3 linked regions of the Drosophila melanogaster genome follow. The protein of the gene in region 2 interacts with the protein of the main gene of each other region in a pairwise test. Each region holds a gene or a part of one and is shown on either strand. Other genes may lie near its edges. The genes, in order: lush, CG7208 and alphaKap4.

Region 1 (4,202 bases), on a different chromosome or scaffold from region 2:
GTACAAATGACGACCTGCAATCGGACTGCTTCCAAACCGGCAGGTTAACCTGAAGATAGGAGTAATACATATTTTCTTAATTTAAAAAAGCTTTCTTTGTTATGTTCAGCTTGAGTTACTAAATTGCTGAAACCAATTTGTTTAGATCAATATAAGAAATTGAAAGCTTAAGAACAAAATAAAAACGCTGTATATAAAATGAAATATACTTTAATATGCGACCCACCTCCATGAGGATGTTAGAATGAGGACCGCCAAACTTTTGGGTGCCCCAACCGGTGACAATGGCGTTTCTATCCGACCAATCTTCGTTCACGGGCGGCATGCAAACTGGCCAGATGTAGGTGTTGAATATAGTCGCCCTGTCGATTCTGACAATTGCAATATCATTGTCGTAGTTCTGTGGATTATAATCGATATGGAGCACCATGTTGGCAATCCGGAAATCCCTCGCCCTCGTCTCATTCAGCATATGCGTGTTGTACTCGCCCAGACGCACGAAGATGTCCTCCTTGTTCTTCTTGTAGATGCAGTGAGCGGCAGTTAGGACATGACGGTCGGTGATCAGGACACCACCGCACCAAACGAAGGGCAGACCCTCCTGCAGCAGGGCCGCCATCCAAGGCCACTCGTCTGGCTCGGCTGGCCGTCCACCGGTGAGGCGGGGAAACTGCCTGGACGTGATCCCACAACCTCGCTGCTCCGGCTTATTAACGATGCGCGGCTCATCACCGTCCGCACTGGTCACGACTTGCGGACTAAATCGGTTGCTCGTCGACTGGTCAGTGCAGCAAATGCCTATGGAGCTGAAAGACAAATTATTTGTACATATAATACAAGGATGCCAAGCCATTAAGAAGAAAAATTCATATACCTTTTCTCAATGATGCAAAGCTGGGAGACCAGACGCCAGACATCATTCTTAAGTTCTGGCATGCGACAGTAGATAATGTGGCGACATCGGCCGGATTCACCCAATGGAGTGCTACATGCTCCATAATCCTTGTTCTCCTGCGGTTATCATTTGTAGTTACCTGATACTGGTATGTATGCATAAGACATAAACTCACCAGCAATTGCGAGGTGGGAGCCTGTCGCTTGTTTAGGCGATGTTGGGACAGGAAACTTACGACGCGGTTTTCCCCAGTGCGATTTTCGTATACCTGATTCTCCGACTCCCCCCATTGAAACTCATCATTATCGCTGAAGTCGAGAAGATCTGGGTGGTAGACGAAAATCTTTAGGTTTGGTTTACATTAGATTCTTGGAATTTGTCTTAGAAATATCAAGTATTTGGGTGAAATGAGTTTTAACTTTGATAAATAACTTTGCTATTAAATGCACCTGCACAATTTTTTATGTTGGTATAAAAACGTGACTCACCTAAAAAATCAGTGGATACAGTCTTGGCGATTGTACTCTGCGGGATATAGCCCAGTAAAATCACCAATGCCCAAAGAAATGCCTTCATTTTGAGTTATTTTCGCGAGTGCAGTGGGAATTTTAATCGCGTGTCGCTTCCGTTGCCCGCTGAATCAGTTCTGTTTTGACAGTTCTCCAACCAGCTAAAGCTACTTCTCCGATATGGAGCTGAGCTCAGATCGGCTCAATTTACATACGTCTTGCCTTGGATACTGCTGTTGAACCTGTTCGATGCGTCGACACTATGGGGTTTTCCTGGCTATTAAAGCGTCTTACTCCATGCTCAGTTCCCAGGCGAAAGCTTAATGGGATTGGAACCGCTAGCGATATAGTAACTATTATATAATACTTGAGTTAATCCGAGCACTTGGCTTATCTGTAGGGCGGAAAGCGAGCCACTGAAATGACGTCCCCTTTAATGCCTCTGAGCTTAGACCCAATTTGGTGTATTATCTCAATGTTGCTGGCAACAGCTTGGCAACATGTTGCCAGGGGCGAGTAGTGCCCATGATGATCAGTTTGGATTCTCCGAGGCGAACGTGATGTGCATCGCAAATGATCCGGTTCGGTGGGTTTTGATTCCATAGAAGTATCATCTCCGAAATACTAAGGAAGATTTTATACTCAGTTATATTCTCTATTTAATTGCCTTTTGACGCTTGCACATCAAAGTAGTAATAATAAATCAATTGCACGGCACAACCGGAATCGAAGAAAACATTTGCGATGCACGGTTTGATTGTCACTGCAGAAATGATTTTAATGTCTTAATTTAAAACCCAACCCTTTAACATTTTAACATAATTTAAGTAATAGTATTGAATGATGGAGGCGAAGAAAATGGAATGGGGCGACTTCAGTTGGCAGATTATGTTATTATGTAATAAGACGAATACCGAATAAGTGTACTAAAAAATAAGTTTAAAATAGAAAGCGTCAAACAAATAATTAGTCAAAATATCCTTAAAAAATATTTAAAATATATTATTTTAATATTATTGCGAAGACCATATTTTTATTATTTAACAATTTTTATAGGTAGAGCACTGGATTTGAATTTCTGGGAATATTATATGATCACATATACATATGAATATACATATATGCGGTGCTATAAACTCATCGCTTACCCACTTTATCCTGAAAATTGGTTTAAAAATTATTATTTATTATTTTTTAACAGGTATCTCTAAAATTCGACTATTGTCGTGTCATTCAAATGGTACAAATACAACTTCCTAGTCAACTCAAATGGCGTGCGAGTGTGTTACTTAATTATTAATCCCTGCGATTTAATTACCACCTTTCCCTGCCACCATGATCACCTATAAAACTCTCCTACGACATGGTTACTCAACGTATTTAGCTTTCCGCCACCATGAAGCATTGGAAACGACGCTCTTCCGCTGTTTTCGCGATCGTCCTGCAAGTGCTGGTACTCCTGCTACCCGATCCTGCAGTTGCCATGACGATGGAGCAGTTCTTGACCTCGCTAGACATGATCCGCAGTGGCTGTGCGCCGAAGTTTAAGCTCAAAACAGAAGATCTCGATCGGCTTCGCGTGGGTGATTTCAACTTTCCGCCATCGCAGGATCTTATGGTGAATGCCGCTTTCATTTTGCAGGCACCAGTGTTTGAATCCTTTATCCTTTTAGTGCTACACAAAGTGTGTGTCTTTGATGGCGGGCACTGTGAACAAAAAGGGGGAGTTCAACGCTCCCAAGGCGCTGGCCCAACTTCCGCATCTGGTTCCCCCGGAAATGATGGAGATGTCCAGGAAATCCGTTGAAGCTTGTCGGGATACGCGTAACTACACCCACACTTACCTTTCATAGCTGTAAATATATGTAAGGTATATCTTTGCAGATAAACAATTTAAGGAATCTTGCGAGAGGGTCTACCAGACGGCCAAGTGCTTCTCTGAAAACGCCGATGGGCAGTTCATGTGGCCTTAAAAATGTTTCTGGAAACTAAATTCATACTGGTTCATCCTTTAATGACCAATCCTTGGATGATTGCTTTATTATCTATGTTGAAATCATCAAATAGAATTGGAATTCGTAAAACATAAATTATGACAAGAAAGGAAGTTAGCTTCAAAAAGCCGAAGTATATACTTATATACCCTTGCAGTAATATGATGTTGATTAAATTGAAACCAAAATTTATATATTAAAGACAACTTATGTATACAGAATAACATCAATTTATGATTAAAAACGACGAAACTGTAGTTTGTGTTATATTATTTCATTCGAAACTCTATTTTCCGACTATTCGTATGCCTATATGACAAAGTCGTCCAATTCTGATTGAATCAAAACTGAAATTATATATTGTCAAAGTAACAAAGAACATTTTGTTTAAATTAATTTTTCGATTATGTATATACCCGCAATCGACTGAATTCGATAAGCAAATCTTTTTTTTTGAAAACAATCTTTAATCATATATTTGAAAACCTTTTTGTAGATTAAAATGGCACCCCAAAATATAAACACGCCGCATTGATTTCAAACATGTTATAGTTTATTGCTGATATTATTAACTAAATACAACGGTTTTATGTTTGCATAACGCATACTTATACATTTTGTAATCGATAAACATCCAATTGGCTTAGCAATGCATTCAAACTTAGGGAGATCTTTGCATTCAAGAGGTTACAAAATAAATGCAAATCTTATACAAAATGGTTGCCTTGCAAATCTGCGTACAAAGTTCTCTGTAATCGAGAGTAATCGATATCTTAAATTTCGGTTTCGGTATAGGAGTAGTGT
Region 2 (4,581 bases):
CTTCATAAGCTTGGAGTGCAGCGTGATGGCGCCGAAGAACTGCACCTCCTGACTCTGTGTGGGCGGTGGGGTGATTGGGTGGGCGGTAGGTGCATGAGTATACATATCCGGGTAATTGATGCATTGATGCGCAGGTCCTGCGTGGTACTCACCTTGCCGAGCTGCATTAGCTGCCAGGAAAACTGCCAGGCCTGTGGACTGGCCTCCGCATCGGTAAGCCATTCATGGGTGATCGCCTGGTTCTGCGAGTTCGAGCGGTAGAACGACACGACCGCCTCCTCCAGACGCGCAATGTCAATGGGCTCCATGTGGAATGGCTGCTGCTGCTGCTAATGCTGCTGCTGCCGAGAGGCAGTCTCCTGTCCGCTAATCCTCGGGTGGTGGTTTTCTTTGCTTCTGCCTGTGGGCACTGGATTCGCGAGTGTGACCAACGCGCGAAGTCACCAATTCGCGGACGGGCCGAGTGTGCGGTCACTCCATTTTCGACTTTGCCGCGCTTTTTTTCCTCCTGTATTTTTTATAAAAAGTGTTGAAATGTACGTATTTAATAATAAATAAATATGTAATATAGTATAAATTGCTTGTGGCCTATATGCTCGATATATGCAGGAAAAATTCAATTTATAACAACATTTATTCATTCGTACACTTCATAAAATTTTACTATTTCTATTTAGTAAATACTCTCTGCAATTGAGGAGTATCTTAACAAGTTAACAGTGAATTTGGAAAGCCCAAAAAGTCCTATATAAAATCGAATTTAAGTTGCCAGAAACAGTATCGCAATTTGGAACACCGGTCGGCGATGAAATCCCTGCTATCCTCATCGATATACACCTCAATAAGGACGTTGTCGCAGAATTGAGCGACCTGCCTCTCCACGTCTTGGCAGTCCAAAGTGGAGCGATTAACGACGGCCCATCTGTCGGTATTCAAGCCCGGGTTCTGTGACTCCAGTAATGCGAAGATCACACAGAGCGACTTATTCGGACTGACCAAGGGCAGGACAAAGGTCGTCCTCACTAGATCGAAGAACTTAATGAAGGGCTGGCAGGAGTGGGGCGGCTCCACACCTTCGACTGCTTCGATGACCCATTGGGCCGTTTCGTTATCCTCGCAGACCACCAGCATGTTGCAGTCGAATGTCTGCGTTGAGGCACACTCACTAAAATTGAGATCGCTGACGCTCGATCCACTGTCCTCGAATATTGAATGAAAGTGCTCCATTAGGGCGATAGTGTCCACACCATCCGAGCACGAACTCTGGTTAGTTATCACCAAGGCGTAACGTCGGTTCTCGGGCATTGTGTTCGCATACGGCGGCCGAGTATCCCTCTTGCGACAATTCTTTGGCGTGCAGCAGTCCTTCTTCCTCTCCTTGCACTCCTCGGCCTGCTCCACTGAGCAGCTTGTGCGGCTGGTCTCCGTCTTGCAGCAGTTCATCAGGTGGATCTTCGAACCAAATATGGAAGCCATGCTGCCGGCTCGTTTGTCCGCGAGCAGATTCTGCTGCGGAACCACCTTGACCACGCTGTTCTCTTGGTTGCTTCGTATTCTGTGAATGAATCAGTTGGGTATCCCTATCATTTACATATATAGTTATTACACACAACACACACCTTTTGGCAGCCGATTCCTCATCGGAGGCGCACACTCTCGTCTTTCGCGCTACGGAGCTGGCGCTCGTGCTTGCGGATTCGAAGCTGGCGTTCGTCTGGTTCGACGCACTGGATGCGGAGGAATCTTGCGAGTTCGAAGCCTCGCAAAACTGCGGAAGCCTGTCCACTGGCAGAAGCATAGAGCTCTTCGGCATGTTAAGGAAATCCAGTTGGCTCTTGCCCTCTGGAATTGTATAGAATTGGAGAAATCCTACAAAGGAATTTTCGTGGTACAGCGAAAAGGCTGTACCATTAAGCGTTGTCGACGGATAAGTATAATCGCTTTTATCCGGAATTCTGAGCAAATTTGTAATAAACTCATCGTTTTCCAGAGACTTGTGAAAACTCTGTACGTTTAGGCGAGCCAAGGGAAGACCTACTTTTACCTCCAGTTTTTGCTTCAATTCACCAATGGTCGCATTATTGTGGAGCTCGAACATTTCCGGCATCTGTATGGGATTGAGAAATGAAAATATGTATTTATTAAATTTAAGCTTCAATTATTATAGCTCCATTTATAAGCCACAATTGTAAAATATGTGCGGGCTTAAGATAACTGCATACCACACTTGTGTTTCCCTCGGCATCTAATTTCACTTTGACGAACATTTTATGTAAGAGAAGATATTAAAACTTGAATTAACAATTGGTAATATACAAAATAAGTGTGTCTCTCAAAATAGAATATTCAAGATGTTGATGCGCTTTTTTATTGGAGAATCTTTAGAACCGTTATGCCAAAGCTTTCGTTTTACAGTATGCTTGGCACTTTACGACACTGAATGCTTTGAACGATGAACCAGTAATAAATAAGATAATTATGTAAGGTAGTAGTTACCTTTCCATCCTCCTTGAGGTACTTTGATTCAATGTAAGCTAGTACAAACACCATTTTTTTTAAAGTTTAAAATCAAAATTATTAATTTAACGAAAAGAGTTAAAAACACTTTTGGAGATCTTGTATAAAATTTAATATTGTAAAATATCTCACTCGAATTTTGACTTGACACTGGGAAAATGGCACTCTGCAACACTGGTTTTGCGGCATTACTGTTTACGAATTGGGTGGAAAGCGAAACTGAGTTTTTTTGTTGACTGAAAAGCAATGAAATAACCAATTGTAATGGCGGGTAAACGTGTTTTGGTCATCGATAATGGATCCTACGAATGCCGCGTGGGCTGGAGCGACTCCAAGGAGCCGGACTTGCGGTTCCGCAATGTGCTGACCAAGCCGCGCAAGGATCGCAAAAAGGAAGCAGCTGCTTCGGAGGGATCCGCATCGCAGACAACAGTGGAGCAATCTGCCGAGATCCAGGTGGGCAATGACATCACCAACATCGAGGCGGTGCGTGCGCATCTGAAGAGTCCATTCGAGCGGAATGTGATAACCAACTGGAATCACCAGGAGCAGATCTTCGACTACATATTCACCAAGATGGGATTCGATGGACAGGACAAGATCGACCACCCAATCATCCTCACAGAGGCGCTGGCCAACCCCAACTTTTGCCGCCAGCAGATGAACGAGCTGCTCTTCGAGTGCTACGGTATTCCGTCTGTATCCTACGGCATAGATGCGCTCTACAGCTGGAAGCATCATCAGCAAAAGCAGAAAAATGTTGTTTATTGGCCCTTGCAATTGCTAACATCCAATTAATACGAGATTTCCCCTTTAGATATCCGATGCCCTGATCATTTCCTTTGGCTACAGCACCACCCACGTCATTCCCGTGTTAGATGGCAAACTCCAGCTGGAGCATGTGCGTCGCCTGAATGTGGGTGGCTACCACATCATCACCTACCTCTTCCGGCTCATGCAAATGAAGTATCCCGTCCATCTGAATGCCATCACCATCAGTCGTATGGAGAAATTGGTCCATGAGCACTGCCACATTGCTGTTGATTACAAGGAGGAGCTGGTGCAATGGGCCCAGATGGACTATTACGACGAGCACATAATGAAGATACAACTGCCGTACAATGCGGTGACCGCCACTAACGCCATGCTAACCGCTGAGCAGAAGCAGGAGAAGCGTCGCGAGCTGGCACATCGTCTGCTGGACATAAAAAAAAACCGGGAGCAGGAGAAACTGCGCGAGGATGAGCAGCAGTTATTCGTCTACAACAAGCTGAGGCAACTGTACGAGCAGAAAAAGCTGGACAAGTTTGAGCGAGCTCTACAGCAACAGCAGATTGGTACATTGGAGGACTTGGATTCCCTCATTGCAACCATAAACTCGCGTATTAAGCGTGCCCAGGAGAGAGCTCAGAGTGGCCCGCGCCCCAGCAAGCAGCAGGAGAGGCTGAACAAGATGCCGAAACCTCCAGAGGGCATGTCCCAGGCGGACTGGTTGGCCGAACTCCAGGGCAAGCGGGAGAAAATACTCGGGCGCAAGCAGGCGCGCCAGCAGCAGCGATCCGAGCAGGCCAAGCGACACACCCACGCCGCGCAGGAACGGATGCGAATCATTTCATCACTGGCCAAGAACGAGAAGCGGCGCAAGGCGAACGGCGAGGAAGAGGACGATGGCTTTGGGATGAACGACAACGACTGGGATGTGTACAAGCGAATCAATCGCTACAACGACGACAGCGATTCGGATGCAGATAACGAAAAGTTGATGCAGTTCGATAAGATCCTAAATCACTATGATGCCAACACCGATGGCAACTCCAATGTTCCGCCACAGAGTGCCGCCGAGAACTACCAGCTGCACTTTGGGGTTGAGAACATTCGCGTGCCGGAGGTTCTATTCCAGCCCAGCATGATTGGTTGCTCAGAGGCGGGGCTAGCAGAACTAATAGCATTCGTGCTGAAGCTATTTCCCGCCGCTGAGCAGCAGCGCCTGGTTGAGCACGTGTACCTAACCGGCGGTTGTGCCCAATTCAAGGGTCTCAAGGAGCGACTAATCAAGGAGCTCAT
Region 3 (3,790 bases), on a different chromosome or scaffold from region 2:
CGGCTGCCACAGCTGGTGTCAGGCCTGATTGATTGATTGATGGATGGGATGGCTTGATCTTGTGGCAATGTCAATATGCTTTTTACGGCCCTCGTCATTTGGCGCTAAGTTTATATTAAATTTCATTTTAATGGCCGTCGAAAAAACACAAACTCAGGCCGCTGATATGGGAAAATGTATAAGTATATATAGCTTATTTTCCCCTTCTTTATCGGTTTCCTACAGCATTGCTTGGGGAATGGGAGGACTCGGCCGTGCTGGGTATAATAACTTTCTGCATCATATCTGCAAGGCTATTAAATACACATAAAATTCGGTGCGGTATGCCAGCACTTTTCCCACGCTGCCCACGCAACACGGAACGCTTTTACCGCCCACACTTTCCACACTCTTGCCTCGAGCTGCAACCAATGGGAAAATCATAAAAATTTATGATTGCAATAATCTGGCTTTCGCACGAAACTTGTTTTTCATGCGGAAGTTCAATTGATGCAGGACCTACACAAAAATACAGACACATACATATAAAAACGATTCTTTTGCGGCCAGTATTTAAGCATCTCTTTTCAAGGCCATGGCCGTACTAAGAGAGAGTGTTCTTCAAATCATTTTATATTCACTCAATATAAAATCGCTTTATATAGAAAAAGTTCTGGAATTTGGATGGAAAAGTACAAAGGTATGATTAATGTTACTTCATATAAAAGCACATTAGAATTTAGTTGCGATGTGTGGTTTGGCGGGAAAGTAGTTACCAATGATTTTACGTGCCACAGCTGCGATTTCCTCATGTTCGCTGCTTTGGAGCATCCTGATATTATTTAAAGCTCCACTCCATTCGATGATGCCGGACACCTCTGCCGAGAAAGATGGATCCACATCTAGCATAGTGCTCAGTATATCGAGCACATTAGATAAGATGTCTCTTTCCTGGCAGAAGAGTAAATTGCAGAACTCTGGAATTACTCCCTGTCTCATAAGATAGCACAGGAGATTCTTGTCCTTATCGATGGCCAACGTGGTGATTGTCAAGGCAGCTGCAGATTTTAATGAAATCGCATCAGCTTTTAAGCACTCCAGTATTTTATGCAGGAGACCTGCATTCATAATGGCGTGCCTTTGGAATATATTTCCGTCAGCGATGTTTAGCAAAAGCTTAAGAACTTGACAGCGAATATCTGGATCACTATTGGACATCAGAGCCGATAAATGGGGCAAAAGGTTATTGTTAAGCAACTCTTGAATCTGCTCTTCGGATCCAGTTGCTATATTTATTAGGGCTTGCAGTGCGGCGTTCTGAACCGTAACGTTCGGATGCTCCAGCAAGTATATGATCCTGGGTACAACTTCAAAATCAAGTAACATTTGAATCGTTTCATTTCCATGGGCCAAATTACGCACTGCCATAAGTGCGTCCTCTAAAACGTTGGCCTCTGGGTTGTACAATACTATGTTCAATGCCTGAATGATCTCAGCTGCATTATCAGGTGGCGATGGTTGAGAGCTTATGCACAGTTTTCTTAGAACCCAGGTTACATGACTCAACATTAAAGTGCAAGTGCTTTTATCCTGAATAATAGACATCAGCTTTTGCATAAGTCCGTGTCTTATGATATAGTCACGGAGGTTCGGAGCAAAGTGCAAGAGATTCCCCAAACTCAATATACCCTTTTCGCAGACTTCAGGATCGGGTGACTGAAGAAGGCGAATCAATCGTGGCACGGCGCCAGCCTTCGCAATCTGCAAGAGTTTAATTACAATATAATAGGAATAATAGCAATAGCCTAGAAAATAATATAAAACCCACTAAATTTGAGTGCTCCGATGAGCCACTGGCTATATGAGCTAAAGCATCTGCGGCGTCGGCTCGAATTTTGTTCTTATTTCCGTGGCCAAGGGACTCCACCAGGTTTCCTATCGTATTGCTCTTAAGTAACTTATTGACGTCGGGAACAACTTCCGAGGAGGTTAATTTACATTTGGTTAAAGCATTGTAAATAGTCAGCTCTTTCTGGAGCTCAGCCTTTTTGGCTTTTTCCAATCGAAGCGTCCGCAGCATCATCAAGTTCTGCCCTTTTTTTAGGAAGCGGCGTTTACGCTTCTGCATTGTATTTGTATGGAAAATTTTGTATTGTGTATTTAAAATTTTGCTATGTGTTTGGTCTACGATAAAATTGTGTTTCTTTTTTTTAACAAATAGGGCAGAACCTTCTTAACTGAATCGTTTTCGGAAACTTTCTTGATCACGGGAACTTTTTGTATAACTGTGATAGTTATAGTTATAAATAAATATTAAGGTTACATTAGCTCTCAACTGAAATGATTGCATGTTATATTTATTCTGTTTGAATTGCAAACAGAATCTCCAAATATTTTTCACAGTGCAGAGATGAAGGCCACCCACCCAGTTTCAACCCACAGCACGAGCTGGCAAAGAGCCAGCCAGGATAAAGGACTATGCCTTATCGCATGCCGTCCGATCTGCGTTAGGTTATCAACGATATGCTTAATTTAGTTACCCCAGTAAAGACCTCTGCTCCCCATCCCATTGCTCCACTATAACGGTCCCTCGGCAAGTGTAATAATTTGTTGTTATTATCTCTCCGGCGGAGGCGACCCAAAAGACAATGCCGTTCACATTGGCCCAGTTCCAAGGGCGAAAGGCGGTAGGCATCCTTTGCATGTGGCATCCATCTATATGTAGATACATATACATATATATATATATTCGTGTAGGTACAGCAGCATAATGAGCGCATTACATGCCATGTGGCACTTGTGCCTATCTCCGATGTTCTCAACACTTGGCGCTTTGCCTGCGTCGAAGGCATAAATTTCAAGGACGCAAAAACAGGCGCGGGAGAATCGGAAAAACATGGCCCAAGAACATGCGAAGCGCGAAAAATAAATTGACAGCCCGAAGGTATGCAACGCTTTTGCTTGTGCTCTGCCATTTTTGACCTACATGTGGATAAATGTGTGTGGGTATGGGCGGAAATGGTGTGGGAGTGGCAGTTAATTGAAAAAATACCAACTTAAAGGCGAAAACTACACATTAAAGAACCAAAAAAATCTATCTTTGATCCGAAAATGCACAAACTTTTAAAGTGATTTTCCCAATGCAGTTGTCTAAAAATTACAATCTTCCGAATGTTTGTTTCCACACATTTAATAAAATGAAATTTTAGTTTTTATGACAATTTCATGGCGTTCATTGTGATTAAAAATTAAGTAGAGCACGCATTACGGTAATGCTCGGCATTTTGAAGAGAGCCCCTCATGCTGTTTAATAATGATAATGACTATAATTTATTGAATAAAAAATACCTCGTACTGGCCAAGAGCTCCAGTAATGTCATTAATTGCACACGCATGAATTTTTGATGCATTTGGTTGCGAAAATCAGTTAAACGTGAATTTATGCGATGCAGAAAGGCTCAAGGGTTAAACACGATGGGCATTGAAGTGTTTAAAACAAATATTTAATTAACGACAGGAATCATTTTGAAAGCGTTAAATCAGCAAAAATAAATCAGTCGTAAAAATACGTAACTAAACCAAATGGGTAAATGTTCCACAATTGCGTTTGTGCATGGGGCCGATTAAAATAAATATTTTATGAAATGAACCAAATTCATTCTCACCTTTAAAAAATGGGAATATGCATTCGATATTTCTCCATTTTTGAGGAAAGGAGTAGGCAAATGGCCGACGGTTATATGAAAATTGCCGCCCTGTGACGTGTGCGCAATTTCCGCCAGCCGAGGTTTTCCGAGGCGGGGTGATGCGG

The links.
Region 1: the proteins of CG7208 (region 2) and lush interact in a two-hybrid assay, tested with the Drosophila melanogaster proteins (one large-scale study listed by BioGRID).
Region 3: the proteins of CG7208 (region 2) and alphaKap4 interact in a two-hybrid assay, tested with the Drosophila melanogaster proteins (one large-scale study listed by BioGRID).

Annotation. Positions count from the first base shown.
Region 1 is NT_037436.4:19,603,850-19,608,051, reverse strand, and holds lush (lush), read left to right. Parts: upstream 1-1,961; 5' UTR 1,962-1,990; intron 1,991-2,080; exon of another isoform or gene 2,081-2,096; intron 2,097-2,605; 5' UTR 2,606-2,800; coding exon 2,801-3,022; intron 3,023-3,077; coding exon 3,078-3,228; intron 3,229-3,288; coding exon 3,289-3,377; 3' UTR 3,378-3,654; downstream 3,655-4,202. Other genes in the region: CG9372 (uncharacterized protein), read right to left, coding at 1-49, 227-806, 875-1,011, 1,071-1,219, 1,384-1,471. UniProt on the Drosophila melanogaster protein: Odorant-binding protein required for olfactory behavior and for activity of pheromone-sensitive neurons.
Region 2 is NT_033777.3:18,183,039-18,187,619, forward strand, and holds CG7208 (uncharacterized protein), read right to left. Parts: upstream 2,678-4,581; 5' UTR 2,551-2,677; coding exon 2,497-2,550; exon of another isoform or gene 2,460-2,496; intron 2,360-2,459; exon of another isoform or gene 2,268-2,359; coding exon of another isoform or gene 2,223-2,267; intron 2,108-2,222; coding exon 1,620-2,107; intron 1,556-1,619; coding exon 745-1,555; 3' UTR 618-744; downstream 1-617. Other genes in the region: cdm (cadmus), read right to left, coding at 1-54, 153-308; Arp5 (Actin-related protein 5), read left to right, coding at 2,782-3,276, 3,335-4,581.
Region 3 is NT_037436.4:6,008,845-6,012,634, forward strand, and holds alphaKap4 (alpha Karyopherin-4), read right to left. Parts: upstream 2,178-3,790; 5' UTR 2,108-2,177; coding exon 1,808-2,107; intron 1,741-1,807; coding exon 712-1,740; 3' UTR 602-711; downstream 1-601.